4 linked regions of the Drosophila melanogaster genome follow. The protein of the gene in region 3 interacts with the protein of the main gene of each other region in a pairwise test. Each region holds a gene or a part of one and is shown on either strand. Other genes may lie near its edges. The genes, in order: und, disco, Ccdc85 and CRIF.

Region 1 (6,747 bases), 6.8 Mb from region 3:
CAGCCCTGGTAGGCGCATACAAACCCAAACCAACCGAAAATCAAATTTGCATTTGTTTACGTTCGCCCCAACATGCTATAATCTCAATTCCCCACTCGCAGAAACCGAGTCGATGGCTCCAAGCAGCAGTGCGGCGGCTGCAGCCACCAAGCTCCTGGTGGAGATCACCACCGACGGAATACCCAAGCTGCACTGCCCGGTGTGCAACAAGGCGCTGGTCTCCCTAGCCGGATATGTGAAGCACGTAAAGAAGCACCAGCCGCCGGGCGGCTTCGAGTGCCGTCACTGCGATGCTCGGTTTTGCCACGAGGAGGAGCTCACCCAGCATGCAAAGGATGAGCACGGAGTCACTGGCGCGGTAGCTGGACAGGAGCGAAAGCCTTTCGTTTGTGAAAAGTGCGGCGCGGAGTACAAGTACCAGGAGGCATACCGTCGCCACTGCAGGACCAAGTGTGGCGAGGAAAAGCTACCCAGGGTGAGTAGAACCGAAACAGTGGAACCGTTTGTAAATATATTAATAATAATTACTTTCTCTTCCTTAGGAGGAATCCCGACCAATGGAGTGCAAGTGCTGCTACACCCGCTTCTCTAGCGCCTCTAACCTATCCAAGCATCGACGCAGTCGTCCCGACACCTGTGGACAGCCGGAATACGATTCGCCCGGTTCATCCGATGGGATGAAGAAACATAAGGCCTTCCGCAAGAAGGACAGAAACAGGGACTCTGATGATGAAGATACCACCAGCGAAGAATCGGAAGATAGCGATGATGACATTCCTCTGGCCAGTCGTCTGAAGACGAAGCTCAAGCAGGAGAGCCAGAACTCGGACTCGGGCGACGAGTGTCCCGACTTCGAACCCAACAACAGTGAGGACGATGCGGATGCATCCGGATTCCAGCTTCCTCCGCCGGCTATGGTCAAGGTGGAGGCCTTCGACGAAGAAGATTTCGAGTACCAGGACGCCAGCATGTATGTGAAGACCGAAAGCACCGATATCTTTAGCAACGAAAAGGATAAGCTGCTGGATGTGCTGCTCAATGAGGGTGATGGCTTAAAGCCCTTTGAGAGCCTAAAGGTGGAACAGGGCGCTGGTATACTAGACGAAATCGCGGCCGTGCCGCTAGTGGAGGTTGCGGAAGAAGATGTCTTAGAACTGAGGGGTCATCAAATGGAAAAACCTCCCGGACCAAGAAAGCGGGGCAGACCGCCAAAGGAAAAGATACCTGTGGTCAAGAGAAAGTATCGCAAACGAAACGCACCTAGATCGCCCTCGCCTGACGATTCATCGGGTACACCAAAACGCGTAGCTAAGATCAGCAAAAAGGAGCTAAAGGAGCGCCTTAAGATGATCAACAAGATGGAAAAATCCTGGAAGTGTCCTCACTGCGTAAAAATCTACCACATCCGCAAGCCCTACGAAAAGCATTTGCGCGACGACCACAAGTTAAATGAGGCGGAAATGAAAGAGATCTTTAAGGACGTGGACGTCCATGCTAAGCTGGACGAGGAAGTCTTTAAGTGTCCCATATGCAGCAAGATCTATTTGGTGGAGAAGCGCTTGGTCACCCACATGAAGGTGCATGGCGAAGATGGCAAGCTGACTTTCAAGTGCCCATGCTACTGCAACCTCTTCTTCGCCACCAAGGAACAGGCCACTGAGCATGCTAGGGCCCAGCACAAGGAACTGCTCTACTGCGAAAAATGCGACAAGTACATGACCGGACACGACAGCCTCAAGAACCACGAACGCAATTTCCACTCGAAGAAGGAGCCGCGCAGCCAGCAGCGCAACCTCATCTGCGACAAGTGCGGCAAGAAGTTCACCGGACGCACATCGCTCTCTGACCACGTTCGTTCTGACTGCGGCCGTCTACCGCTCTACGGCTGCAGCGTTTGCGGCAAACATTTGTCCACCGCTGGGTAATAACTATTTGTGTTTGAATGTTTATTCTAAGACTGTTAGTAACGCATCTTCCTTTCCGCAGTATTCTCAAGACGCACATGCTCCTTCACAAGGCAGACACTCCGTACCAGTGCGATAAGTGCGGCAAAACATTCAAGGTGAAGGCGCAATACAAGTCGCACTTGAAGACGCGCCACACGGACTACAAGCCGTACAAGTGCCACCTGTGTCCCAAGGAGTATCCGTACAGGGAGAGTCTGCTCACCCACATGACCGTGCACACGGGCATTAAGCGTTTCCTGTGCAATAACTGCGGCAAGCGCTTCACTTGCATCTCCAACTTGCAGGCACATCGCAAGGTGCATGCCGATACCTGCGGCCAGTTGCCTTTGAATGCCAAGGCCACCCAGTACATGGGCGTGCAGCGCGGAAAACTCTTGATGGGCGCTAAGCCGGAGGCGGGCATGGAGTACGAGGAGACCAAGACCTTGATCGCCCAGGATGTCATCGACAGGGACATGCCCATGGCACAGGAGCTCAACTTCCCATCTGACGGCTCAGCGCCATTGGCCACGGTGCCCCTGAACTACGCCTCCACACACCTGGTGCCACACATCGTACTGCAGACCATGCAAGCCGAGGCCCGGCGAATGGAGTAACTTCGGAACACATTCATTTAGCGATCCCACTCAATAAAGATTCTTTTGTAAACGGATGCGTATTCTACTGTACAACAAATGGGATGACAACTACATAATAATATCTACTTAATGACTGGATTAATTAAATAACATTGAACGTAAATAAGCTACATAAAATTGATGTAGATGAAGGTTTAACGCCATACGGACCTGTCAAAAACATTTAAGAAAAATAAATTTCCTTATAAAAACACGTTTCGGAATTTATTCGTAATAGAGAAAATTAATTATATGGGATTTGTTAAAAAAATCTTTATATTTATTTACTTTTTACTTGTTTATGTATTTTTATATTGACTAACAGCCTTACAAACTATATTTCTTAATGTCTCGACTCGCTAGTTCAGTCTGAAATAGGGCTGCTGGTATCTGCCTATGGGCATCCGATCCTTGGTCCTCAGTCGTCGCACTGCCTCTCGTATGAATTTGGGCTGCAGGGCACCGGATTCACCTTGGGCCTCCATCACGTCGAGGGCTTCCTCCACAACCTCGCCGACGAAGACCTTCGCAATGCCGGACATGGCTATCACAACATTCTGGGACACGGAACAGCCGGTGATAGTTTGCATTAGACGCTTGACGGCGGCCTTGGGAAAGGCAGAGCGACGATACATTTCGTAGCGATCCAGCTGTTCTTCCGTAAAGTTGGAAACGAGAACCCTGGAGTGGAATAAAATAGTTTTTATAGGATTACCCCTTCGAATCGCTTTAAGCTAACTTACTGCATTCGTTCGCGCTCCTCCTCCTCCAGTTCCTTCTTCGTCTTGAGCTTTTTGTGCGCCGGCTCGCCAGAGTCACCATCTCCGTCCGTGTTCTTGTTGTCGTTGTCCCCATCCGCATCCTTGCCATCACGATCCGCATCGTTTCCCGGATCCGAGGTGTCGCTGTCCTTCCGCTCGCCGGAGGCCGACTGGAAGAATTTCAGGTCGACATCGTCGCCGTCGCTTAGGGAGTTGCTTTTTTGCTGCGTGGGAAAGAGGATTTCGTCCATTTAAATGAAATTTGAAAAGCACCAGCGAATAATAAACAAAATCAACCAGGGATGGAGTTGCACCATATTCGCTTTTTGCAACACTCAAAAGTTCCGCACCACATAATAGATGAATATAATTCAAAATATCGGATTAAATATATTAAAGGTATATCATAGTTGTTTATAAGGTGGCTTTGAGATTTTAATAAATAATAAATATATAAATATACAATATTCGATAAACTTTTATTTTTGTAGTGTTTTTTTTTTCTTCAAATTAGTGCTCAAAGTCAAATTATGTAAATTTCAAATTGAACATTCACTGGTTCCGATAGTCCACAGCACGTTTTACAGCACTGGCCTCTGACACCTCGTGTTTTTGTTCTTTTCTCCGCATCGCCATCGCCAGGCAAGAGTGCGCGCTACATTTTCGTTTATTTCATCGTTCAGCCAGCAACCAAGGCACTGCGAAATGTCTGCAACCGAGACTCTGAATGTGGAGGCGGCAACGCCCGAGATCGGCGAGGAGGTCAAGAAACAAAAGAAGCCCAAGCCGAACAACAAGAAGCTCCGCCAAGGTGAGTGACCTCATGCGAGCAGTGCACTGTGGTAATTGCATTTGCACGACCCTCTCCGCCTCAACCACCCACCACCCACTGAACTAACCACTTGCCCACAGAAGCGGCAGCCAAAATAGCCTCCGGAGAAGGCGGCGACGAGGAGCTGACCACAAACGGAGATGCCAAACCGGCAACACCGGCCGCTCAGCCGGCAAAGAAGAAGGGGAACAAGGGCAAGAAAAGCGGTCAGACTGATCCGCCCACCATACCCATTGCTAAGCTTTATCCGGACGGCAACTTCCCCGAGGGCGAGATCGTGGAGCACCCCACGCCCAAGGATATGCCCGACGATCGTACGGCCAAGGACCGATTCACATCGGAGGAGAAGCGTGCTCTGGACCGTATCAACACGGACATCTACCAGGAATTGCGCCAGGCGGCTGAGGCCCATCGTCAGACGCGTCAGTATATGCAGCGCTACATTAAGCCGGGCATGACCATGATCCAAATCTGCGAGGAGCTGGAGAACACTGCTCGGCGCCTGATCGGCGAAAATGGTCTGGAGGCTGGTTTGGCCTTCCCGACTGGTTGCTCTCTTAACCATTGCGCCGCCCACTACACGCCCAATGCCGGAGACCCCACTGTACTGCAGTACGACGATGTGTGCAAGATTGATTTTGGTACCCATATCAAGGGGCGGATCATTGATTGCGCCTTCACCCTGACCTTCAACAACAAGTACGACAAGTTGCTGCAGGCCGTCAAGGAGGCCACCAACACGGGCATCAGAGAGGCGGGCATCGATGTGCGCCTATGCGACATCGGCGCCGCTATCCAGGAGGTCATGGAGTCGTACGAGATCGAGTTGGACGGCAAAACATATCCCATCAAGGCGATTCGCAACTTAAATGGACACTCCATCAGCCCGTACCGTAAGCAAAAATCTATTTATTATAAATATTTTAAATATGCTTATGCTTTCCTTAATATTTTTTGTTTAAATTTATTGTGATTTGTGCAAACACTTAATGAAGTCTAAAATTAAATTCTCAGGCATTCATGCTGGAAAAACGGTGCCCATTGTGAAAGGCGGAGAGTCCACTCGCATGGAGGAGGATGAATTCTACGCCATTGAGACGTTCGGCTCGACGGGTCGCGGTCTGGTCCATGACGATATGGACTGCTCGCATTACATGAAGAACTTTGATCTGCCGTTTGTGCCGCTGCGCCTGCAGTCATCCAAGCAGCTGCTTGGCACCATCAACAAAAACTTCGGCACCCTGGCCTTCTGCAAGCGTTGGCTGGACCGCGCCGGTGCCACGAAGTACCAGATGGCTCTCAAGGATCTGTGCGACAAGGGCATTGTGGAGGCTTATCCGCCGTTGTGCGACATTAAGGGCTGCTACACGGCTCAGTACGAACACACAATTATGCTGCGACCCACCTGCAAAGAAGTCGTTTCCCGTGGCGACGACTACTAGTGGGATGAGGAACTGGACAGTGACCGATTTTCGGCGATGTATGGCTTGCATTATATACGGTTTTTGATATAAGTTCATTCTATTGTTGATTTTTTGTGAGCATGCGCCAACCGAATTATATATACAATGTATTATGCTCAGAATATAAGCGGAGTGAGATTATTTTCGAAGTTGTTCTTGTCTTGGCAGATTGCTACGGAGCTCACGCCAGTAAAGTGAATAGTTGTGATTGATAGGCTCCTTATCTAATAAGAATGACCTGTATATGTAGACAAATCCTTTGCCTGTAAGATAGTACAGGATCTCTATGTAACTGACTATGCTGAAACCGTACATAAGCGAGAGAATGCCTCCAAAGCGATCTAAAGGGTTAGTTAATATTTTTTAACTACTCGTCTTAGTTATTTACTGTACTCACTTAGCAGAACAACCCAACTGCTAACCATTTGAGATTTTGTGGCTTGGGCAAAGCGCAGTTTAAAGAAAAGCTTTATAATGGCTAATGGTCGCTCGTTGGTCAATCCCTTTCTAAAATATTCGATATTCATTATTTATCAAAGAAATTGTGGTACATCACTTACAGCAACCCGGTAAAGTAACCACTGCTATTATAAGTCCGTCTCAAAGGAGCCACGTTGGTGGTGATACTCATGCTAACTCCGTTGCAGGTGGGCAAACAGTGCTCGCACTGCCTCTGGACCAAGTTCTCTTCCTTGTTCTGCAGGTAGGCGAAGTCACTGTAGCCATACCAAATGCTCTTCCATCTCATTAGGCATGGAAGATCGGGAAGCATACAATAGTCGAGATCCATGGAACTGCCGGTCAAGGGCGGAGATACACAGCCGCAATGATCGATCATGCTCTTCATGCGGCATACCAGAAGGCACTCGTCCAGGGAGTAGTACGATCTGTAGGAACGATGTTCACCAGGTATTCCGCGGATTGGTTTCTAATTACTTACTGGTTCAGCAACCGCATGCCTTCTTCGGGATAGTAACAACGTCGTATATGTGGCGGGACTCCGCGAACCCCATCGCCTGAACTAAAAAACATCGGCTGGATGGGAATCTCCACTATGCTGTAGTGATCCACCAGCACCTCTCCCAAAGTCGTAGACTGAATGGTGGC
Region 2 (10,346 bases), on a different chromosome or scaffold from region 3:
CGTCCAAAACTAATGAGCTGTCCTGTCTTTTCTTTATTTTTGGTTGGGAGCTTGGGGGCGTGGAGGCAAACTGATCTGAAAAAATGTAATTAAATGTGAGATGTTGTGACGCCTTTGTTTGAACTGAAGAGAGCAAAGCCAGCGAACTGGATAACTTCCCATGGCCTTTTGCAGTTCCATATGAGTATCAATGCTCGGATACTCAGGTTGATATTTAGCTTGGGTTTCTGGTTCGGGCTCAGGGCGTTATTTTTTTATTTTTTTTTTTTTTGTGTGGGTAAAAAGAGTATAGCTGGGGTATCGGAATCGAAATCGATGCAGGGTCAAAAATTATTAATGGATTTTTAATATCATTTGTGTCAGCGTAAATCGTATTTAAAGAAATCAGAGGAAAGAGAACCGAAACAAAAAATCTGAAACGATTTATTGACCTGAAGTCAAGTACGCGGCGAGAAAGAGATGAGATGTACGAATATATATATATATATATACATATAGTCGTTGGATCTTTGTAATCCACAGGGCCTCCACTTGATGGTTCGATCTGGATGGGTATGGGTATGGGTATGGGAATGAGGATAGAGGATAGAGGACGGAGAATGGTAATGGTAATCGTAATGGCAATGGGATGGAGAATGAGAACCTGGACGACAAAGTGTGAAAAATGATTGATCGATTTCGTCTCGGATCTCGGACCTCGATTACGTTTCGATTTTGGTGTTCGTGCACAAAGGGTGCCGTGCTATTCCCGTGTTAATAAAGAACTTTGTGCCCGATTCCGATTCAGTATCTTGTTCTTGACTTTAGCCCGGTGACAGTGGATCTGTGGGACTCTGAAGTCCCTGAATTTTGATTCCAGCGGCGACAGCAACGACAATCGACATAATAAGATAGCAATTATTTATCAAATCTGGCAGGGGGCCGAAATAAATCGAAAGAAACGAGCATTTATTTCTCCAAATTTTTGATTAATGAAACCATTTCGCTACACAATAGAAGAGAAAGGAAAAACGAAAGTGTTGACTAGCACTGTCCAACATGAAAAAAAAAAAAATGGGGGGGCGACATCGAGATGACCCCAGAGAAGATATTTCCATTCGTTCCAAACAATATTAAAAAAAAAACCTTCGAGGATTGACTTTTCACCTTCGAACTCACATCAATCAATTCACAAAGGCCAGTTGGCGGCGCCGAATTGAAAAGTGACACTCAGCAATGGGGAATCGATTATAAAGGCACTCCACACATTAATATTATCAGATATTATTCTCAAATCAAGCAATTTGAGGACACCTTGTTGAATAGAATCGAGGCAGCATAAAGGTTGCTGCACTTGTCACTTAAATTGATGGTACATTCTGTAAAAACTTCGTTGAAAAATGATTTTCACAACACATCTAATTATAATCATTAATTTTCACATCACATTTTAAAGTGGAATTATGGTGCTTTTAAGTTTCAGATAAATCTGTTTATCTGAAAGAATTATAGTTTGGGTTTGGAGGATTTATTCCCACCTTCAGATTAAAAATTGAAGTAAACATAGTTTTTAGGAAAACAACAGTGAATAAATTGTGTTATTTATATATTTAGAACAATTAATGTTTCTGCAAAGGTACTTGCGATTACGCGATTACGAAAGCTAAATAAGAAACAACTAATTGAATGAGTGATGCATTGTATTTGAGAAGCCTTAAAGCTTAAAGCTTTAGGTTAACAAGAAACTGATTTGGGTTTGGTTTATAAGTAGTAAGTAAACTTACTTGAATGAATTTTAGTTAGAACCTTATATACCATTTAAACGTATGGTATGATATGTAATACTTAAAGATATTGAATGTTAAGAGAGTGCTTTTTATTAAGTCCTGACCATTTCCTGGAAGTCCAACATTGATGCTAACGCCTTGTGGGTATGCAACATAATAATGCGGTCCTTATTGTTATATTTTTTTATGGTGATTAATGCAAATAGGATTTGTTCCGTACGGTTTTTTTTCGCTTTAAGAACTTTTCTCGGACACTTGTGTGGATAAATTGAAGAACAAATGTGGCCAAATATGTATGTGTGCTTTTGTATCCTTATGTGGGACATTCCGGCGTCTAGCAAATACATACATATACTGTGTGGGAGTGTGGGTGAGAATTATTTTAATTCGGCAATGAAAAGGACAATGAAACGACAAGGAGCTGTGTATATGTGTGTAGGTGCTGCTATCACATAAGGCACTTACATACCGAAGCTGTGCAATTTACATAAGTTATACATGCATACATATGTACATACATATATAGTGGTGGTGGGGGCGGTCATGGTGATAGGATCGTTGAGGGACTGCGGTAGGGGTGTGGGGTGGAAAGAGGAAGCAGCAGCGTCGCTTCTTTGTCACCAGTGCTCGAATTCCATTGGTGCTGTGTGGCGACAGGGAAAAAAAATCGAAGCGAATCGCCCCCATTGCCAAAGTGTCACCCATACACAGATACACCTATACAGCGACATTCGCACCCACACACACACCCATACAGATGCACAGCGCAATCGCAAAACAAAGAGAGCCGCTCAACGCGGCCATTCGTGCGGGTGCGATAGGGACGGCGAGAGGGCACAGCACCGAGTGGACAAGACATCAAATGACAAAAATTTCAAAAGAACCTTCGTGAAGAGAAGCAGAGAGGAGAAGCCCAAGACAAAAAGTGACGTCGCAGCAGCGACAAATTACGTACTGTGTACTGTATACTGTGGCCATTGCCATTTCACTCTCGTTGCTCTCTCCCTCTTGCGCTCTTGTGCTCCGGCTCCCTCTCTCTCGCTCTGTCACACTATAGTGCCCGGCCATGTACTCACACCATCGAACCCAAGGCACCCATACCAGCAAGCGGCGAGAGCGAGCGCTGCGTTCTCTTTGGCTGGCGGCAGTGCGTGTGAATGTGTGTGCCGCACTGACCACACACACACACGTCGCATGTCGCATGTGTCAACCCAACGAAACGGTTTCGTCCACTCAGACGACAGTGTGCGAGCGGGCGCGAGATAGCCGCACGAGCGTGCCAAGCCGCTCGCACGCACGGGACGGCGCTCTTTCGCGGCGTGAGTAAGAGAGTGGTGGCTACTCTTGCCTCGCACTGCTTTGCCGACTGGGCGAGCGGGATGGACTCAAGTGCGGGCGGATCTCTCGCTCGCACTCGGGCGAGTGCCTAATGACCCATCGACGACAATGTGACGAAGGCCAATTCCAATAGCGCGCTCTCTCACACTCTTCCAGGTGCAAGAGCGAAAGAGTGAAAGAGAGAGGGCGCAAGAGCGAGCGGGAGAGCGAGCGAGAGAGAGCCAAATGTCACCCACCCCGCGTGTGCGTGTGTGTTTGTGTCAGTCAGTCGGTGTGTCGGTGTCGGTGTCGCCGCATTTGTCGCTCGCTCTCTGCCCGCTGCGCTGCCGGCGTCGCAGTCGCCGCACAAATTCGTTGGTGAAACGACAAATCGACAATCAGTGTCACCCACGACATTCGAAGAAGTGGATCTCTGCTGTCCCTGCTCTCCGCACATCCGCATCTTCGTCGCTACTTCGTTTGCCACTCCGCATATTCACATATTCGCATCCGCATATTCGCGTCCAGTCCACTCTTCTCTCTGCCGCGCGACCCAGTGCATAAGTGTGCGTGCATACGAGCGTGTGTGTGTGTGTGTGTGTGTCATCGTCAACTGTGAACGACCAACTTTTTTAATATCTCAGCAAAATGCAACAAAAATAAATGCACCACGGGCATGAAAACAACAACAGCACACAGCTCCAACAGTGAATTCTACCATCTGAATTTATCAACTTTTTACGCAACAAAATATCAAAACAAAACAAAGCGAAAGAAACCCTTTTTTTAAATCTCAAACCTGTGACAAAGTGAGAAAATCTAAAACAAAAAAAAAAAACAGCAATAAACCAAAATACAATAAAATATCTACAACTCGCTGCTAAATTAGCAAAAGGTATGTATAGTTCGAGTAAAGTTGATTTGCCGTCGGCACTTCAAGCAAAGAATTCAAATTCAAGTGAAGTCATAGTGAATATTTTTCGAGATCAGAGGAGTATTTTCTAAAAAGAAATCCTGGTGCCATAAAAATATTACCCATTCAAGAATTGTGTTATGAAATAGGAACGCAACAATAGGATTCTTTTCGTGGTAAATAATGATCTTGTTAGGATCACATAGGCTGCTAGTGGCATTAATATGGTATTACCATTTTCATGGGATCTCTGGTGATGTGCTGCCATCTTTTACCTCTAGTCTATGGATTTTCTTATAATATCCTGACTTTGCTAAATTGAAAACAGCTTGTTAATCCAATGTTCGTAAACCCATTTTTGTCTATTTGCTGCGTGAGCTTCGACGACAAAAAAGTGATGTCTTCGGGGGAAACGCCAAATGTCAAAGTTGTAATTAAGATTTTTGTCTGCGGTTTTCGAGCTCTGTTTTTCTCGTTGATGTCCGGACCATCGGCGTTGTCATCTTTGGACCATCGCATGCCCCTTGCATGCCCCTTGTGCCCATCGACTCCTGCTTATTATAATGTACTACTATTAACAGCAACTACAACAGCAATTATAGCCGCCGGATTGCTCACATCTCGGCATCTTCCATCCCCAACTGCCACACACCGTACTCCACAGATCTTGGATCTACCATCTACCATCTAAAGCGTCTCCCAACTCTCGGAATTCTTCAATCTTGTCGTTTCTTGTCTTGGGTACTTTCAACATTTTGCTGCCTTTGCCACTGCCGATAATCAAAAAACGTTTCGTCCGAGAGCCATCAAAAGTTGTGATTGGTTTTTCCCCTACCCCCAGCTGCCCAACATCACCCCCCCTTTCACCATCGGTGGCTTAAGACATTTTAAGCGTTTGACAAAAATAATTACCCATGTACATGCATACTCACCTCGATCTGTCGACCGCGTGCACTGAGAGAAAATAGAGAGGTTGTTATTGTTTTCCGTTGCGCCTTATTGTGCTATGCAAGATTGTTATGATGCTTAGATCTTGAATTGTTTTATATTGAAATGTTAAAAGATCTATATTTTTTTTTGAGTTGAATCTCTTTTTTAAAAGATTCTTGGAAGATAAAAAGGTATAGGCACCTTCAACTCATATGATATAGTTAACTTATAATGATCTAGAAAATTATTGCAACATCTTTGGGTCATTCTCTATTTCTTGAATGGTAACAATATTTTCGGCACCTAGTCAGAAACTGATTACTTCCAAGTACCTGACAATTAAGTTTTTTTTCCCCCCTTTTTGCTCTTCTTTTTTTTTTCTTGCGCTTTCGCATTTTCGCCGTGTGTACATACACTCATTTTAATGCTATTGTTGTCATCGTTACTAATGAGCCCCATAAAAAGCGACCATCTCCTGGCTTCCTGCAACTGTGTGCGTGTTACCTGTATGCCTGTATGTGTGAGCCATAGTCGTATGTGGTTTTCGGCTTAACTTTTTAGCTGGCATTGGGCAAGCGAATGCGAATGTGTGTTCGACTTTTGAGATCGAATCCAGATAGCCAGCCACGACATCGCACACACGATCATCACCATCGTCATCCGCATCTCACCGCAATTGTCCCCAGTTTTGTGACGCCCCTGGGTTCGGTTCACTTCTTTTTTTTTTTTTTTACCCCTGATTTGTTTCTGTTTTTAACGTCAAGTCGACTGCTCACAATTACGGTAGCGAACGGAGTCCACAATAAAAAAAATGAGCTAGCTCTGGCTTTAGCTTTGCTTTTGGTTTTGGTTTTGGCTTTAACTCCGACCGATCGGATCCAAAGTCGAAGTCCGACACTGATCGCCGCATGTTGTCGTCGCCGTCGACGTTGTCAGAGGCGATTTTAATGGCCAGAAGAACCGAAAAAGCTGTAAAAGATTTCGCTCGAGTAAATGAGGCAATGTGCACTTACACAAGTAATGCGCCAGTGTTAGTGTACAGTGGGCCTTGGCTACGACAGAAATTGGGTGCATAGGAACCAAAATGATAAAGATTAAACAAATGATGTAGCGTCAGTCACTGGGATACCCCTTTTGATTATTTCAAAATACAAAACATGGCAACTCTAGTTGTTCTACTGTACTATCGGCTCGACATGAAAGATATGCCGCCATCGGTGTCGCCGATATAAATGTTCGCTTGTCTGAGTTATTGTAAGCAGTGTGTGTCTTACCAATAAATCTAGCTGGATTTGCACAAAGTTGGCTAAGCTCCTTGGAAGCTTTCACTTGGGAATTTCGGTAATACACTTGAGATATGACTTTAGAGCGCTTTCCAATGCTATAGATTAGTGCTTTTGGCGTGGCAATGCAGTCATATGTACATATACATTCGCCTCAGATATTAATCTATATCTTAAGGATATCGAATATTAATTAATGAAAAAGCCATTTGAACAGCAATGGGGTTTTTTTTTTTTTGAAGCACACAGCTGGCAGCCTTAAAGACTTTCTTTTAAATCTGGATTTCAGAATGTATCTTACAGCAATGACCAACTAATCGCTGTAATCCACTGATTAATTGAGACCCCCCCCCAAAATAAAGTTTTCTCCCCTTGACTTATTCGACCGTCTTGACTTTTCGCACTCTAATTGCGCATCAATGACCACTGCCCAATGTCCCAGGTCCAGGAGTCAATGTCCATGTCCCCGGCACCACAGACCATTCAACAATTTGCCCTGCTGACTCTCGGCGATAAGGTTGATTCCAGTTTCCCAGTTGTAGTTGCGCAATCGGATTTGCCCCGCAACCCTGGCAATAGTTTTCGATTAGGACTGACCGATTCACTGACTTCCTGATTGACACTCCCTGATTGACACTCCTAACGATTCGTTTCTGTTTCTTGTTTGTTTTCCAGGCACCACCAGTCATCGCCATCGCCATCGCCAGCGCGACCATAGAAACAAAATCCACCACAGACGACATGGAGCACATAATGAATCCGTTCATGTCACCGGCTTATCTGCTGGGCCATGGCCCACATTCCCACCAGCATGTGCACTCCCATCTACCGTCACACCCGCAGCCAAATGCCGCCTCTCCGGCCAGCTCACCCGGCGGATCCAGTGGCTCTGGATCGGGATCGGCAGCGGGATCGGGCACTGGATCAGGTTCATCCTTAAAGCCTCGTCGCTGGGGCTCACCGCCCATCAATCTGGCCGGTCAGTTTATCAATCCAGCCACGGGAAAGAAACGAGTACAGTGCTCCATTTGCTTCAAGACCTTCTGCGACAAGGGCGCCCTTAAGATTCACTTTTCGGCCGTGCATCTTCGCGAGATGCACAAGTGCACGGTGGAGGGCTGCAATATGGTGTTCAGTTCGAGGCGTTCGAGGAATCGCCATAGCGCCAATCCGAATCCCAAACTCCATTCGCCACACATCCGGCGCAAGATCTCGCCGCACGATGGCCGCACTGCCCAGCAGTTTCCGGTTTTCTCGCCCGGAACAGCCGCAGCAGCGGCCGCTGTCGCCGGACGACTTCCGGTTGCCTTTCCCGGACTTCTGCCACCGCCGCCGCCGCATCATGGTCACCATCCGTACGTCATGTTCGGCGGACAGGCGGGTCTACATGGCTTGGGCCTGCTTTCCACCGGCTGTCAGGATCCCGATTCTGGATCGGTGGACAATGAACAGGATGCTGATCCCGAAGATGACAACGACTTTGTGTACGTGGACATGCAGGCCAATAGCTCTAGTCCGGCGGCCTCCAGCGAGGATCAGGAGGAACACGAACGGGATAATGAGCAGGATGAGGAGATGCACTGCAGCTTGAGCCTGGCCAGCAGTAGTAGCATTGCCGCCGATGAGGAGCGGGCAGCTGACCAGCCATTGGATTTCAGCCTTCACAAGCGTCGCAAGTCGGAGCAGGATCGGGAACAGGAGCAGGAGCAGGAGCAGGAACGGGAGCGGGAGGCGGAAAAGGAGCAGGAACAGGATGTGGAATCCGACAAGGAGCACGAACCCGAACAGGAGCATGAGCTGGAGCGTGAGAAGCGCTCGCCCAGCGATGCCTTCTCCATGGATCAGTTGCTGGGCAAGCGTAAGCGTCACGACAGCACCGCCTCCAGCTCCGCCTGTTCCACGGCAGCCGCCTCCTCCGCCTCTAGTTCCTCCGCCAGCGCTAGCGCCAATCCACCACAGACGAGCATCAAAATGGATCTGGACCCGGATAGCGACAGTGCCTACATGACCAGCCGGCGGCAAATGCTCCCACTGCCCGTTCTGGACCTCGAGGAGCATCATCATCTGCGCCTGCTGCAGACCCAGATGTTTGCCGCCGCAGCGGCTGCCGCTGCCACCAGCCAGGCACCGCCCACCGCCTTCCTGCCGGCGGGATCACCCGTGGATCTGGCCAAGGACTCGCCGCCCATGTGGAGTCTCCTCTCCGAAATGTACCGCTCCATGCTGCTGAAGACACAGCACCAGCAATACAACCACCATCACCAGCTGCAGCAGCAACACCAGCAGGAGCAGCATCATCATCTGACCCTGAGCCACCACCATCAGGAGCAGCACCATCATCTGGGTCATCACCACATGGGTCACCACCACCATCATCACCATCAGCACCACCAACAGCAGCCGCAACAGCAATCGCCGGCGGCCACGAATGCGCCGATTTCCGTCTAATGTCCAGACTGCTGATCCATGGCGATGATTTCTAGATGATTTCCTTAGTCAAATTTGTTTTTATATTTTTTTTTTGTGTGTGAATCGTATTTTAAGAAGAATACATTTGGTGGCGTGCTGCATTACACAAAAAGGTGGAGCTTCAGGTGGTGGGGCTGTGCCACAGCTTGACCATTAAATGGCTGGCACTCCTCCTCAGGCGCGACCCCGCAACACCCGCAACCAATGCCACTAAGTACCCCACCCCCCCCTCTGAAAACTGGAATTGCTCCGAAACTAAGCTTTTTCTGCTCGTACATGTGTTATATGGATTTTTTTTTTTTTTGGAAACCTATGTATAATGTATAATGTATACTGTAGTGCGACATCTAAGTGTATAGTATTCAATCCGTTCCTCAGTGTGAATGTGCAGATGCATGAATGAGAGTGTGTGTGTGTGTGTGTGTGGGATCCCAGGATCGGATCCAAAAAAAAAAAAAAATTAAAGTCTGTCATCTGAAAAGCGGGCTGGGCAGTGCAGAAGCGGGGATTTTGGAACGGGTTCCGTTTCCCTGCCCCCTCTATCGGTGTACAACGAAGTATTGATATTTATAACGAAATATATATTATGAATGGCATATATTAAATAGTTTTAAGACAATTTTTTTCGTAGCCAATAAAACTATATTGTATTGTATAACTTGGATGTACTAACACAGCAAGCAAATTCTATTGAAACATATCCCCCCCGTGTGTTAAAAAAATAAAAAACCAGAAGAGATTCAATTCAACCAATCCCTAAAGAAAAAAAATAAACCCAAAAAAAAAAAAACAAAATTATAAAAATCCATCGCAAAGGTTGATAGATCGTAGGTGAACGAAAATGTTATTGCTATCGCAAACGAAAATTCCTCCCGACGATTGTGTACTGTATTACAACAAGATTTTAAGTTTTTTATTAACAAATAAACAACGGCAAAATTGAAGAAACATGTAATCAAAGATGCTTTTTTTTATTGGTTCTCTGGGCGGATACATAATTTTCATGTTTTCACTATGAAAATAGAGCATATGTACTTTATGTGAATAATATAGATGAGTCATCGATTTTATGCGGATTTTGTTTTTCCATTCGAAAGATATAAAGTCCAGTGGAAAATATCTACAAAAAATTGCTATTTTCGTTAAATGCCATTTAATTCAGATATATTACTGCCCACCTTAAATCATTTAGTAATGTTTTTACGTAAATAGACCGATGTGCGTAACTCATTTGGATCACAATCACAAGTCAAGCTAGCTCTTCTCGCCTGCGAAAAGCACACGTACATATTTGCTTGTCTCAACGAATCCAGATTCAAATGTATATAGTATTGGTCTGATGAGATCTATAATGGGCAACGCCCTCGAAATGGTCTGTCCCTCCCGTTTGCACAAATGAGTATCCGAAATGCCGACGGACACTCACAAGAAGGCGTGACATGCGGCATAAATTGGTTTTCGGCTCCGCAACTATAGCATAGCATACCATACCGAAACCATACTTTACGGTTCCGAACCATACCATACCATACCAAACCAAACCATACCATGCCATACCATACCATGCCATACCATACCATATTCCTATACTCCATCCAATACTTGTACATATCGTACTCCCCCCGCGAATCGTCGTGATGAATGACCAACTATTGGTCGCAGCGGCAA
Region 3 (7,404 bases):
TGGCAACAATTCAGTTGGTAGACGGAGAATTGAAAAAACGCAAGAGCTGCAATATCAGATCAAATTTCCCCCAGTGTTCCTTTTGGTCACTGAGCCATGTCGATCTGCTGTCTTCTGCTCCTCGCAACAGCTGGGCAAGAGGTGAGGTGACCAGTGGTTTGTCGGTTGGTCGGTTGGTCGGTTGGTCCACCGTTGGAGGCTGCTCTTGTTTATAAATCAAGTCACATTAAGTGTAATAATAAACGCAGATCGAGGCGAACTTGAGCCGGTTCTTGGGTTCAGCGTCGATTGGGTTGGGGCTATATTAAGGCTGTTCTGCGGCTGGTGGCGAATTGAATAAGTCATAACAAGAGAGAATGCTATAGTCAAGTTCACCGACTATCGGATACCCGGTACCCAGCTAGTGAAAGTACCTGTTACATACATTTTATCGAATCTAAAATAGCCTCCTACTTACTCTACGAGTAATGGGTATCAAAAGGGGAGGGTGGTGGCGCAAGGTGGGAATTAATAAAAATCTGGCCAAATTGTGGCAGCGCGTTCTTCTCCGCTTCGATAATTATGGAGACCAGAGCAAGCGAAAAGAGAGAGGCTTCGGCGGAGCTGGGGAAATGTCAAAACGTACGCTTCATTGCCGTCGCCTGTCTGCTGTCTTCTGTCTTTTGGCTTCAGTCTTCAGCTCAGTTCACAGTCTTCTGGTCTCTACTAACGATAACGACAACAAAATGCTGATGGCACAAATTATAGTCAAGCAAGAAAGAAAAACGGAGCCGGAGTTGGAGTTGGAGTAGAAGTTGGAGCTGCAGTTTGGAGCTTGGAGTTGGAAAGAGCCGCGGCTGAAGACCGGCAGGCCGGCAGTAGAAAGCAGAAAGCTAGCCAGAAAGCCTCCGTCTTTCGGTCCCCAGTCCCCCAAGCCCGCTTTGTCTCGAGCCCCACAATTTCCGCCATTTATGACAGTCACAAATCGAGTTACACTCACATACCCACCGCCTCGACTTTGTCTATAGCTATAACCATAGCTTTGACTTTGGCTTCAGCCTCAGCTCCAGCCCCAACTTCAGATTGAGCCTCTCCTCCAGACCGCCGCGTACTTTCTAATTTCTAGGCGCACTTTTTCACTCGATGCTCTGCCGCCTGGCTGCCGTTTTTGATGTTTAATACCCTAGAAAATGGAGGGGCACACGAAACTACTCTATACATTTGCACAATATTGTAACTTCAATATGTACTTTAATTTGTGTAACATAGCATTTAAGTTCCATACTTAAAAATTATCTTCAAACAAGATGTTTCTTTCGAAATAGGCTAACTAAATACTTCCTATTATAGTGTATGCCACATTCGTCATCTGTGGTTTGCATTTATTTACCAATATGTTTGTTGTCACTGCTTTCTGTTGAGCAAACAAGTTTTTTGGTATTTTTTTTTATTATTATTGTTCATCTCTTGGGTCTCCGCCAAGTGTTAATGTTCATTTGTGCATGCGATATTCACCAAATTGCATGCAATAGAAATTTGTTGTCGAGGTCGCACCGCTCCGCCAAACGAGCATCAAAACAGACCCAATGCCGCCACTCGGTTCCGTTGATACCACGGATGCCCCAGTCCCCCAGCCCAGATCTCGAGCCCCAATCCGCAATCCCCACTGTAACCATAACCATTCACAATGCCAAAACGGCAGCAGCGGCGGAAAAAAACGACGCTTTTGGAGGAGGTTTTTTTGGTAGCTAAGTGATGGGAGGTCAAATCAGTTACAGTTACGTGAGGCTGTTTTGGGCCAACAGGAGAACGTTTTGGCCAGAAGCAGAGCGAATTGAAAGTAAAGAAGGGGCCTCCTAATGAATCCCAAGTGGAGCACCCCTCAAAGCGGATTCCATGCGATTGGAGGCCATTTGATGATCTCATGGCAGTTCCAATCGACTGGTCTCATTTACATTCCTTCGGCATTTATGTCGAATGGGATCATTGCCAATTACAATGATATGTGTAGAACCCATCTGGCATATCTTTTTTGGTCGTAGAGGAAATAGATTAGAATTCTTATCATTGCATCTTTTACCTAATTATAACTTACTGGTTTATTACAGGAATTCTATAATGATCATGTTCCATAAAGAAGACTTGCACTTATCATTTGCGGTCTTTTTTATCTGATTTACATGCTCAAAACATGATATGTCGATCTATAGATCACTTATCATACATTTCAACCGGTTCCGTTTCGATCATTTCTGGAATTTATAGCATCCCGAGACGAGACTTGTTTTTTTATATTAGAGCATTCTGATACAGTTATTCCAAATCAATTTTCCCGGCGAATGCTTAGAATATTTTTTTAGATTTCCGTAATTTAGTGGAGCTGCTAGCTGCTCGAGACGCCCCCTTGTGCTTCCTCGTGGGCCGGAGCCACATGCTCATGACCGTTTGTCATTTCCAGAGGCGCGCCAATTGCCAGAGTGGCCTGCCAAGTATTTCTGCGCACTCTGTGTGAGAAAATGTGGCCAAACGGTTAATAACAGGGGAGTAGGTTGGCCAAAAGGGGGTTTCCTCCAGGCGACCGCAGAAACGGCAGCAAGAGTCAACATGACCGAGCCTAAAAGAAAAGTCACAGTTGCGCTCAAACGAATAGCACCAAAAATGTCACTCAAAGATAATATAAGTCTTATATAGCATATTATATTCTGATCTCTTATTAAATAATCTTGGCGTTTATATAATTTTTGGGATATATGTATGATATACGATTTTGTGAGACGTGTTTATCCACAGATCGCAAAGCGAAGCATTTAAACTAACCTACTTCTAGCATTTCCACCGCCACTATAAGCATGCAAGTATGTGACCATGTGGAGGAGATTCCAGCTATGGCTGCCGGGACAGGAAACTTAAACTAGTTCTAGTTCGAGTAGCTGGCTTCTAGCCGTTCCACAAACTGGGACACTTGTTGCGCCAACTTGGACACTCGATGGCTGGATGACTTGGCTTGGTCTGCCCTGGCTTGGCTCGCAAGCAATCAAACCTGCAGCCCCAAGATGACAAACAGACGAGGCTTCCCACGCATCAGTCACTCCCATGCCGCCCCTGCCACTCCCACGCATCCGATGGCCGAGTCCCGAAGGCCCGGAAAAGAGAAGCCAGGCTAAATTGTCTTAATGGACCATGAAGAGGAGCCCGCGGAGACGTAGAGATCCAAAAGATCATTATACTCCAAAGAGATTCTGCAGATGGCGGCAGGCGCGCGTAAATCTCGAAACCGCCCAATTAAACAGAAAGATATACGTATATGGATGGGTGCTTATAGGAATATAAAGAGCAGGGCGACACACAAAACAAAATCACCGGCGAGGAGGACAGACAACGAAAGAGTGAACGGAGGACCGGCGGCGATGTTGGCGTGGATAAGCCCAAAAGAAAGTTTTCTTTCATTGACAAAAATTTCTTACTCGACTGCGCTGTCTTTTATTTGCCGCCGCGTACAACGAACTTGGCCTCAGTTGCCCACGGGCGCGGATCTTAACCCATTAAGATGCCGGGCCAAGTCAGGAGGAGATTCTTGTGGATACTTTAGAAAAGCCTCATGACCGCAAAAAGATTCCAACTCGGATGAAGGCTTAAAGAAATGAGTAATATTAAACATTCAACTTAGACCCCTAAGGAAACATACTTTTTGTCCGAGAAGTAATAGTGTTAATAATTGTATTAATATTAATTACTATTTACATTTTGCCAATTCAAACGATGCCTGACTGTTGCATTGTTTGTGGTATGTGGCCAAGCAGTTTTCCCAACTACACCATCCCGCCTTTCCATTTAACCCATGGACAATGCATTTGCATTTCTTGGCCGATTTCTCCCTTTCGCGTTAATGGGTTAATGCTGCTGCTGCTGTTGCCTGGCATTAGTTACAGTTTTCCGATACACGAAATTGACTTTACATATTTCAGGCAGCGGGCGATGTAACAGGTTGTTCGGCGCCATCTCTTTCGCTCTTGCGGGCATTTCGTTTCGAAACGGTGGCGTCGCTGCTTTTACCTGTTGCATGCGGCGTGGTTGTTGCTGTTGCTATTGCAACTGCTGCAGCAACAACAAAAGCAACGGCGATGCTGCAGCGTGGTCGGTTTTCGCTGCTGGTTTTGTTTGATCTTGTGTCTTATTGTTGCGCGTTGTCGTGTATCTTTCTGCCTGTTATTTGTTGCTTTCCTCGGATGCGATACTATCGCCATCGCTCCTGCTGCCTCTCCTTCTCACTCACACCAGCAAGCAACTGTTGAATTTATTGGCGCATATAAATGCCTCAAAATTGATGTTATTGTCGTCCGATATTCCCTTTCTTGCCCCCTTGCCGCCTCGCTGGCTCGTTCCTTTGTTTTTGTCCTGCTTGTTTTGAAAATTGATTTTTACTCGGACTTTTATGGCCGTAGTGGCCGAGCGATAAGTGGAGGAAAAACCCGCCTTCGTTTGCGCACCGTGGAGGGAAAAGACAAAAGACCAGAGACAAAAGAAGAACAAATGGGCAAGGTGGGCGTAGCGCTGACAAAGTGGGCGTTCCCGAGGAGAATAGAGCAATTTTCTGGATCGAAGGGAAAAGAGGGGGCAATGAGTTAATTTTCCGTGGGCCGAGGCCCATGGATTTTTAGTCGACTGACGTGGGCTTGGTACACGTAAAAAAGTATTGATTCAATGTTTTTTCAATAGCTGAAGAGCCTGAATTGAACTTTTTGTGAGTGAGTTATCATGTATGTTATTCAAATAGTTCCTTGCACTGTACATTAATTGTGTGGAGAAACGTGGGCAGGGAAAATGGCAACTTAGGCCAAGGCAACTGCAGTTGCTGCAATTGCCAATCTAACAGCAAAACTCACCTTTTATTTTTTTTTATTCCAATCCGATCGCGCGCTCTCTCTATGTTTCTCTATCTATCTCTGTTTCTCGCTCCTTCTCTCCTTTCAAAACAAATCACAAATATTTGCGCATGCGCGACTGCGCATTCCAGGGATACAGATACACACAGACACACACAATACACTGGCACACAGGGGCACTCGATTCCGCCGTTTGTTTTGCGGCTAATTGTTTATACAGCGTAGATTATTCTTCGCACTGGATGTATTTGTTCATCCGGCTATTTTCGTTTGTTTTTGCTCCGCACGAGCAAATTTGCAGCGCACACGCAGCCGAGAATTCGCGCAATCGCTTTTTCCTGTATGTATCTTTTATTGGCCACAGTTCGCGAGTTTTCATGCCCTTTTCGAGAGCCAAAAAGACGCGTCGCCTGCTGCGTTTCGCGAACTATTTTCGGTTGGCTAGAATCCCGTAAAGGCGGTTTCAGCCGGTGTTCCCCTTGCACTTAACAAACACTCAAGCGGCACTCGCAACTAAAGAACAAAAAGTTTGCGAAAATGCGGGCGGTGTGATTAGTCGCCAACACGAATGTATCGAGTGCAGGGCGGGGAAAAGTATAACATAATTTATGCGATATTTAACAATAAAATAAACACAACGCAATAATTCAGCCGGCGATGCGCACTTTTACGTTTTTTGAACGGCAAACGATCGCAACGATCGCAGTTTTGTGACTGAAAGCGACCGATTTCTAGAGATGCGTTCAACCATCCACAGTGCTGTCGACTATCGATTGTTTGTGTTCGACTAAGATATCGGAGTGGAATGTGTTTGGTTTAAAGTGTGGGCATAAATCGATCAATCGATCAACTTCTATTTTAGTACATATTCAAATTCAAACTCTTCCGTTAACGATCTAAACGGAAATTTATCTTGCCTGCTTCTTTTAATAAGTATAATCTTGAATATATTGGCTTGAAGTTTTCATAAGAAACACTTTTATTTAAAAACATTTTGGCTAAATTTCAGCGCCTAAATTATCATCGTATTTCGCCGCCACACCCCAAAGGCAGTTCTCCCAATGGCCCTCAAACCTAAACTGTGTTTCCGATGCAGGCAGCTCCTCCAGCTTCAGCTGACTTGCGCAGAATGAACTGTGCGTTTACGTGTCGCACCAGAAGAAGGTATACCCAGTGAGTCCCTTTGACTCCTCTGGTGGTTGCCATGTTATAAAATTGGCTCTCACGTTAAACCTGAAATCCTAAGCTAATAATAAGAATAACTAAATCTTCTTGGCTGTGCATTTACTTGGACCAATTTAATACTTTCAAGTTGGCTTTACATAACTTGTGTAATTTGATCTTGCATACATAAAAGCATAAAATATATTGCAAAAATACATATGTATACATGGTATGTGTGTTATATAATTCTCTCTATAAACGTTGTAAATTTTGCGTACGGCTGGTAATTAGAATATTTGTTTACATCTGAACACTTAAGATCCACCGTCCCGATTCACTTAAAACATTTAACCTAAATCTATTTGTTTAACGCGTTGAGTGTTTCTCTTTTTTTTTTTTAGTTGAGTCCGTGTGCATTAACTTGTAAATCTGTTCAAAACTGCATTGTTCGTTAAAAGTTGTTTTTTAAAATATAAATATCGAAAATTTAACAGGTAAAAAGAATAATTTCGTAAGAGTAGCTGGTTAAAACAAACAAGGGCTAACAAATCCGTAAAATATGTATACACAAGCTTTCCGTTCCAAGCGATCATAAAGACCCCTGCTCCGTGACCAGCACAACGCTCTGCTCCTGCGCAATGGCAGCCAGCTCCTTAAGCCACTCGTCCATGAGCACAGCACATAGGGCCAGATCGCGTGATCGCTCGGTGCCACTTGTGCTGGCGATGATTCCCATGGAGGCCACCGAGTCCAGGGACGCCGGCTCCGAGTTGAAACCACCCGTCGACGGGCCGCCATCCAGACCGTGCAGAGTGCTCGCCGAGTGGGTGGTTGTGTTCGACTGGGCGGAGAGCGTTAGGGTGGAACCTGCGATGCTGCTGTTGCTTCCCGATGCCGCTGTTGACGTCGCGTTGGCTCCTGTGCGTGATGCTCCCGCTGGGGGCTGCGTACTCAAGCTGGTCTCGCATGTGCCTGCGGACGTCTGAGCTTGTGATATGCCTCTTCCATCGTTGCTGGCATTATTCCCCACCAGATTCGAGGCAGCTCCTAAAAACGTATGCGAGGATTAGCAACAGCACATGATATTGACATTTTGGGTTAATTAAAAAACAACAATAACCACATGTATATATGGGATTCCACAAATGTTTTCTATATTCTACTATTAACTATTTTTTTAGTGGAAAGCATAATGTACAAAGCTCTACGAAAATAAAGATACTACGCACAAATATTAACAAGACTATGCCATATTGGGTTAGGTTTGATTAAAACTTTAAATATTTTATCAAGCGTGAAATATTTACCGGTGAAGAATGCGTAAATTTGTGATAAGCCAGATGAAGCTAAGATTTGTTTGATTTTTTGATCGATTCGA
Region 4 (5,670 bases), on a different chromosome or scaffold from region 3:
TATAGGCCGTCTTACTAGGAAGAAATGCTTTCCCCCCTTGAAATTGCGAGGCGAAGTCGTGCTTTCGACGTGTTTAACCAGATGTTCATAGATAGGTCTTGGCATGATGTCATATTTCTCAAGCACGTTCGAAAGTAAAACCATTTGTGAAACTATAAAACATTGATTATAGCATATGTACCTACATTTTTGCCTTAGAAATCCAAACCTTCTCTTGAATCAGTGTAAGAACTCCACTGAGTACTTACAAACGCTTTCTACAAAGAAATATGACGAGATCAAAAGCTTTCTGGTGAGTTTGAGTGGTGAACCCGAATTATGAGTACCCAAATTGTCCCTAATTGTTTATTTCAGAAAATTCTGGAAGCCCGTAGCCCCATGTACAATATCCGATACCAAAAGTTCACAAACAAGAAGTTGATGGATAAGTTTCGCCAGGAATATCTTTTTCGAGTTCAGTACCAAACAAGACGAAACATGATTTCCGCACTGCGTAGTATTCGGTACCTTCGAAAAACCAAGAGTCTAACAGTAAGAATTTTGAATGAATTCGAACAGAGATTGGTTAAATGATTAATGGTTTTAGAAACTCACCAGTTACGTGGAGGAAGTTATGGGAGATTACGTGGTGAAAAAAACCAACAGGATTATGCCCTGGAAATTCGAATTCATCAACGAGGTGTACAATATTTTGGCGCTTGCCTACGTAGATCAGTACACGCTTCCGAAGAACTTTCGCTTTTCGGAGAAGAACGCACTGCTTCGATTGCTTCGCTTTCCTATGGACAAGTCAAAGGAAGTGAAACACTTCGTATTTGGGGATCGAACTACGCACCAAGGCTCGGAAACAGTAGATCCGGCCTTGACAAAATCACGGTAACTCGCAGTCGAGATAAAAATTCTATTTTAATTTATTTTGTTTTCAGTCTAATGGGAAACCGACTCGAGAACCGTATGAATTTCGCAAAGTACCCTATAGAGAAGTCCTACCTACTTCACCAAATGGCAGAGATTCATCTTAAATCACACAGGTTTGACGAATGCTGTTTTAGTGCCCGAAAGTCTATTGAAGGTTTGGTCCATTAGTGCTATACTATTAAACGGTTATGGAAATACCTATATATCTATCTTTTTAGAGGCAAAAAAATGCAATAGCTACATTTGGCAGTTTCTGTGCTACCTACTGATAATAAAGGCGAATGCTGCACTCCACAAAGTCGAGCGAACCAGTGAAGCTCTAGATCTGGCACTAAAAATTTCCAAGGAATTGAAAGAAAAGCATATTCATAACTTCTTGACTGCCTGTATACACTGTAATGAGGAGGAATTCATCGTGAAGAAGCAGAGCATTTTTGCGAATAGCCGGCGCGAAAGCGAAAAATCGGTGTATAGTTCCCTGTCCGTGCGCCATAGCAATTAGAGCTTTGTATTATTTGTATAACCAAAAATATTGATTAATAAATTCTCAGTGCAATTATAATAGTGTAGTGACCTATTAGATACCTATACTCAAGTACCCCTGCGTATTTGGAATTTGCATTCTTATTATCAACTTGCAAGCTCCTTCATGGCTAGATCGACTCGGCTACTGATCCTCTTTTAAAAATAATGCTTGTGTAACGTATATATTACACAAACATCGGGCTTACTTTTCACTAGTCTAAGCAAATTCTTGTCTTAATTTATAAAAATATAAAATATTTTGCAACACTTTAAAATATTTTATGGGAGTACAGATAATAAGTGCTCTTCTTTTTGCAGTGTTTTTATTTTAGTGTAACATACAACAGTTCTTCGCTTAAATCGATGGTTTTGATACTACAAATATTACACTGATGCTTTCTCTACCAGCTTGGCCATCATCTTCTCCTCCTTGGCCTTTCGCTTGGCCTCCTTCTGCTTCTTCTTGTCCTCCTTCTCTTTTTGCTCTAGCATTTCCTTAAAGCGTTCGTCGCGTGTATCCACCTTGAACCCGAAGTGTCGGCGCACCTCCTCTACCAGGCGTTCCTTGCGTTGTATGGCTGCCGCTGCATCCGCCTCCCGCTTAGCGATCTTCGCGTGCAGGTCCGCCTTCCACTGTGTCAACTTCTCCATCTTCTTCGCAATGTCCTCTTCACGGGCATTTATCCTTGCCAGCTCCTCTGCCTTCTGCGCGCGGTTCTTCTCCAGCATTTTCAGGAGTGTTTCTAGTTGCATAACCTGCCTGCTGTCTTTCTCTCCGTGGGAATCGAAGCAAATCTTGGGATTCACATTGCTCTGGGCCCCATACCGGCCGAATGCCTGTCTCTGGTACTTCTCGGTCAAATGAATCCAGGAGTGAGGTTCCTGGTATGGCAATTTGTTAAGGAGCACATTTTTGTGTTGTGGTTGCAGGCCGGATCTGTCCACCGTCTGGGGATATGTTGGTTCCACATCCACGTCGCCGACCAAGGAAGCCGGCAGTTCCGCTTTCGCAGCGCTCGAGTACTGGGCGCACGAGCGGAGGGCAGGAAGTCTGGTGACAACGCTTATCTTGCCTACATTCATTTTGAATTGTATTGTCTAAGCAAAATAGTTTATTAATTTCCAATAGAGATGAGAGAAAATCGATAGCGATGACACCAATGCTGGCAACTAAACCCTTTTGGAGCTAAATTCAGATATTTTTTAGGCCCCGTCAGAAAGATAAGTAATAGATATTAATTGTTGTGACAGTCTGGCTGCATCCCAGCTCAAGCTCTATATATTTCTTTTTTCCTTGCTATTTATTTCTATCAATTTGTAATTATCGTTTCCACGATTTGTTACTGACATTTTACTTGTCAGTTTTTATTCCGAAAATAGATTTCTGAGGCTTAAAATTATCATTTTTATGTTGTCAGCTCAAAATATAAAAGAAACATAAATTGATTATACATACGGGCGGCGCACAAGTGTACCCTTAATATACCAATCGTTATCGACAACAATGGTACGTGCACATATGCCCTAATGCAAAACTAAATTCTTGAAAGCGCGGAATTGCATTTAAAACAACTCGTTTTACTTAAGTTGAAATAAGCATTTGCTCGGATAAAAGCCTACGCCACGACATGGCGGGGGATCGTGCCTTAAGTTCCAAGCAATTGGCGGGGCGCATACATTCCGTGTACTGCAAAGATTTCGTGTAGGTTTATTTCCATCAAAGGCGCAAATTGACAATTTCGCGGCTCATTTGATTATTTCCAACAACAGATCCTACAGCGAGATCACATTCCATCCGAAGCACTACCTGAACGTTCTGACCGGTCCCAATGGCAGTGGCAAGTCCACCATCGTGTCGGCCATAATTTTGGGCCTCGGAGGGGAACCGATTCTCCTTGATCGCTCCGCCAGCGTTGCCGACTACATACAGAGCAACAAAACCTCGGCCACCATAATTGTCCGGGTGTATGGACGCACGCCCAACACCACGGAAACCTTTCGGCGCATAATAAACTCTAATGGCTTGTCTACCTTCTCTGTGAACGACAAAGACACCTCCAAGAAGAACTTTTTGGCTGCTGTATCCTCCTTTAACATACAAGTCAGCAATTTGTGTCAGTTCCTCCCGCAGGATCGGGTTCAGGTATGTCGTTATGTTGGCAATTCATAAATTACACACCTATTTATTGTAAACATACTGTTTCAGGACTTCTCCAAGATGAATCCTCAAGAGCTTTTGCTCAACACAATGTCCTCCGTGTGTGACGAAGACCTGATCAACAGCTTCAACAGTCTAAAGCAAATGCGCACAGAACAGGCGAATGTCCATGCTAATCGGGAAAAAGAGAAAAGTGATCTGGTTAAGAAGCAAAAACGATTGGAACAGTAAGATATAGTTACCCGAGCTTATTTTTATTCACTAAGTAAAATGTAACCAAATGTGTGGATGAAGTACAAAATTTTAATTCTTACTAAAAACCTAATTGTCTTAATATCATTTTATTAGCTTACAAATGACTGTGTCCCAATATAAAGAACGCGAAGAGGTCAAGCAAAAGCTGCAGGTGTACAGTGCGAAGAAATTGTGGGTTGAGACTCAGGCTGGAGAAGCCAAGGCCGCAGAAATGAAAACTCAAGTGAAAAACGCAAAAACTCAGAGCGACAAATTGAAGAACCAACATGACAAACTTCTTCAATCCCAAGAACAAATTGAGAAGGAAAAAGAATCACTCAGAAAGGCCTTATTGGAAAAGGTAATGGGTGGCAGTGTTTTTTAATATATTTTTTAAAAATAAGTTTTTTTAGACACGCTTATTAGAAAACGCTGTAGCGGAGAAGGCGGCTATTGATGGTAAAATGGACTCTTTGAAGCAAGGAATTTACCAAAAAAAATATGAACTGGAGGTTGGTGTTCTTGTTGCATATATCGATCATGTGAATAACTCTTAATCTTACATTCTGTCACATAGCAAAACATTAAAAAATCACGAAGAACGGCCACAGAGTGTGATAACCTAAATCAGTTGGTGGAGAATAAAATTTACGAGCTTGAAACCCTAAATAAGAGCAGGCCTCTGATCGTTTCGGAACTTGAAAGGGCTAAGGAATCGTGCGCAGCTGCCCGCGGGAAAGCAATGGAGCAGTACAGCAGACGGAGACAACTGGAACAAAAACTGAATGATGAAATGATTCCTGAAATTACTGCGTATAAACTTAAAATAGAGCGGTTGAGAAACGTCAAAATGCAAAAGATTGATGTAAGTTCTTACTGAAATAATGAAAACTCAACTTAACGCTACCTTTCATTTTAGGAAATTAGAGCAAAAAATCCGAATTTGGTTGTGGCCATGAACTGGTTGGCGCAAAATAAGCAAAGGTACAAATTGAACGTTTATGACCCAATGATACTTGAGGTGAGCTTTTCAAAATGAAGCCATTACCAATGGCCTAATGTTAAAACCGCTATCATAGCTTACAGTACAAAATCATGAGGACGCAAAGTTTTTGGAAAACGTTGTGGCGCAGCGCGATTTATTTGCATTTGCGTGTGAGGACAAGGGGGATATGTCGGACCTGATCAACGAGTTGTGTGTGAAGCAAAAATTGGGAGTTAACGTTATTTACTGCGCACCATCCGATAGACTCGTGTACAGTCCCAAAACTCCCATCGATGATCTGCGGTATGCACTTGTCAATTGTCCAATACTAGTCCAATACCTAGTTTTAAATACTTTTACAGCTCTTTCGGATTTCGGTCATACCTCGTGGATCTTGTCACGGGACCAATACCACTAATAAACAAGCTGTGCGCTTCCTATTCCATTCATAATATACCAATTGGCACAGAAGCTGTGGGCAATTACACTTCATCCATTCCAAAAGCTATCCGAGTTTATTTCGGCGGTGTGTATATTTTTCTTATTCGGTTTCGCTTCGCAAATGTATAAATTCTGATTTTGAATTCCGTACTGTGCATTTTAGGCAGCAAGAAGTTCGTTGTGACCGCATCCCGCTATCGGTCGGATACTATTCTAACTGAAAGTAGCATTCGAGCGAAGAACCAACTTATTACAGTGGACTCACAACAACTGGCCCTGGTGATGAAACAGTGCTCCGAAGCAGTGAAGGAAAGCGACAGCATTAAAAACGCAATAACCCAGACCGACAATGAATTTGAACGATTGCAAGCTGTTGCAAAGGATGAGCAAGAGAAGAGACGAAAGCTTG

What was found.
Region 1: the proteins of Ccdc85 (region 3) and und interact in a two-hybrid assay, tested with the Drosophila melanogaster proteins (one large-scale study listed by BioGRID).
Region 2: the proteins of Ccdc85 (region 3) and disco interact in a two-hybrid assay, tested with the Drosophila melanogaster proteins (one large-scale study listed by BioGRID).
Region 4: the proteins of Ccdc85 (region 3) and CRIF interact in a two-hybrid assay, tested with the Drosophila melanogaster proteins (one large-scale study listed by BioGRID).

The regions. Positions count from the first base shown.
Region 1 is NT_033779.5:9,759,579-9,766,325, forward strand, and holds und (uninitiated), read left to right. Parts: upstream 1-3,790; 5' UTR 3,791-4,050; coding exon 4,051-4,156; intron 4,157-4,257; coding exon 4,258-5,070; intron 5,071-5,191; coding exon 5,192-5,619; 3' UTR 5,620-5,760; downstream 5,761-6,747. Other genes in the region: zf30C (zinc finger protein 30C), read left to right, coding at 102-475, 543-1,921, 1,987-2,563; Taf11 (TBP-associated factor 11), read right to left, coding at 2,944-3,265, 3,328-3,596; ppk18 (pickpocket 18), read right to left, coding at 5,779-5,981, 6,038-6,147, 6,201-6,527, 6,581-6,747.
Region 2 is NC_004354.4:16,209,883-16,220,228, reverse strand, and holds disco (disconnected), read left to right. Parts: upstream 1-3,478; 5' UTR 3,479-3,978; intron 3,979-6,884; 5' UTR 6,885-6,950; coding exon 6,951-8,657; 3' UTR 8,658-9,631; downstream 9,632-10,346. UniProt on the Drosophila melanogaster protein: Required for the establishment of stable connections between the larval optic nerves, the Bolwig's nerves, and their target cells in the brain during embryonic development.
Region 3 is NT_033779.5:2,997,460-3,004,863, reverse strand, and holds the start of Ccdc85 (Ccdc85), read right to left. Parts: upstream 5,579-7,404; 5' UTR 4,863-5,578; intron 1-4,862. Other genes in the region: CG3558 (uncharacterized protein), read right to left, coding at 6,616-7,073, 7,334-7,372.
Region 4 is NT_037436.4:21,566,308-21,571,977, forward strand, and holds CRIF (CR6-interacting factor), read right to left. Parts: upstream 2,592-5,670; 5' UTR 2,527-2,591; coding exon 1,828-2,526; 3' UTR 1,752-1,827; downstream 1-1,751. Other genes in the region: CG7634 (uncharacterized protein), read left to right, coding at 19-134, 199-292, 355-531, 587-876, 927-1,072, 1,137-1,420; SMC5 (structural maintenance of chromosomes 5), read left to right, coding at 3,072-3,145, 3,214-3,586, 3,650-3,828, 3,950-4,196, 4,249-4,347, 4,413-4,700, 4,755-4,856, 4,915-5,123 and 2 more.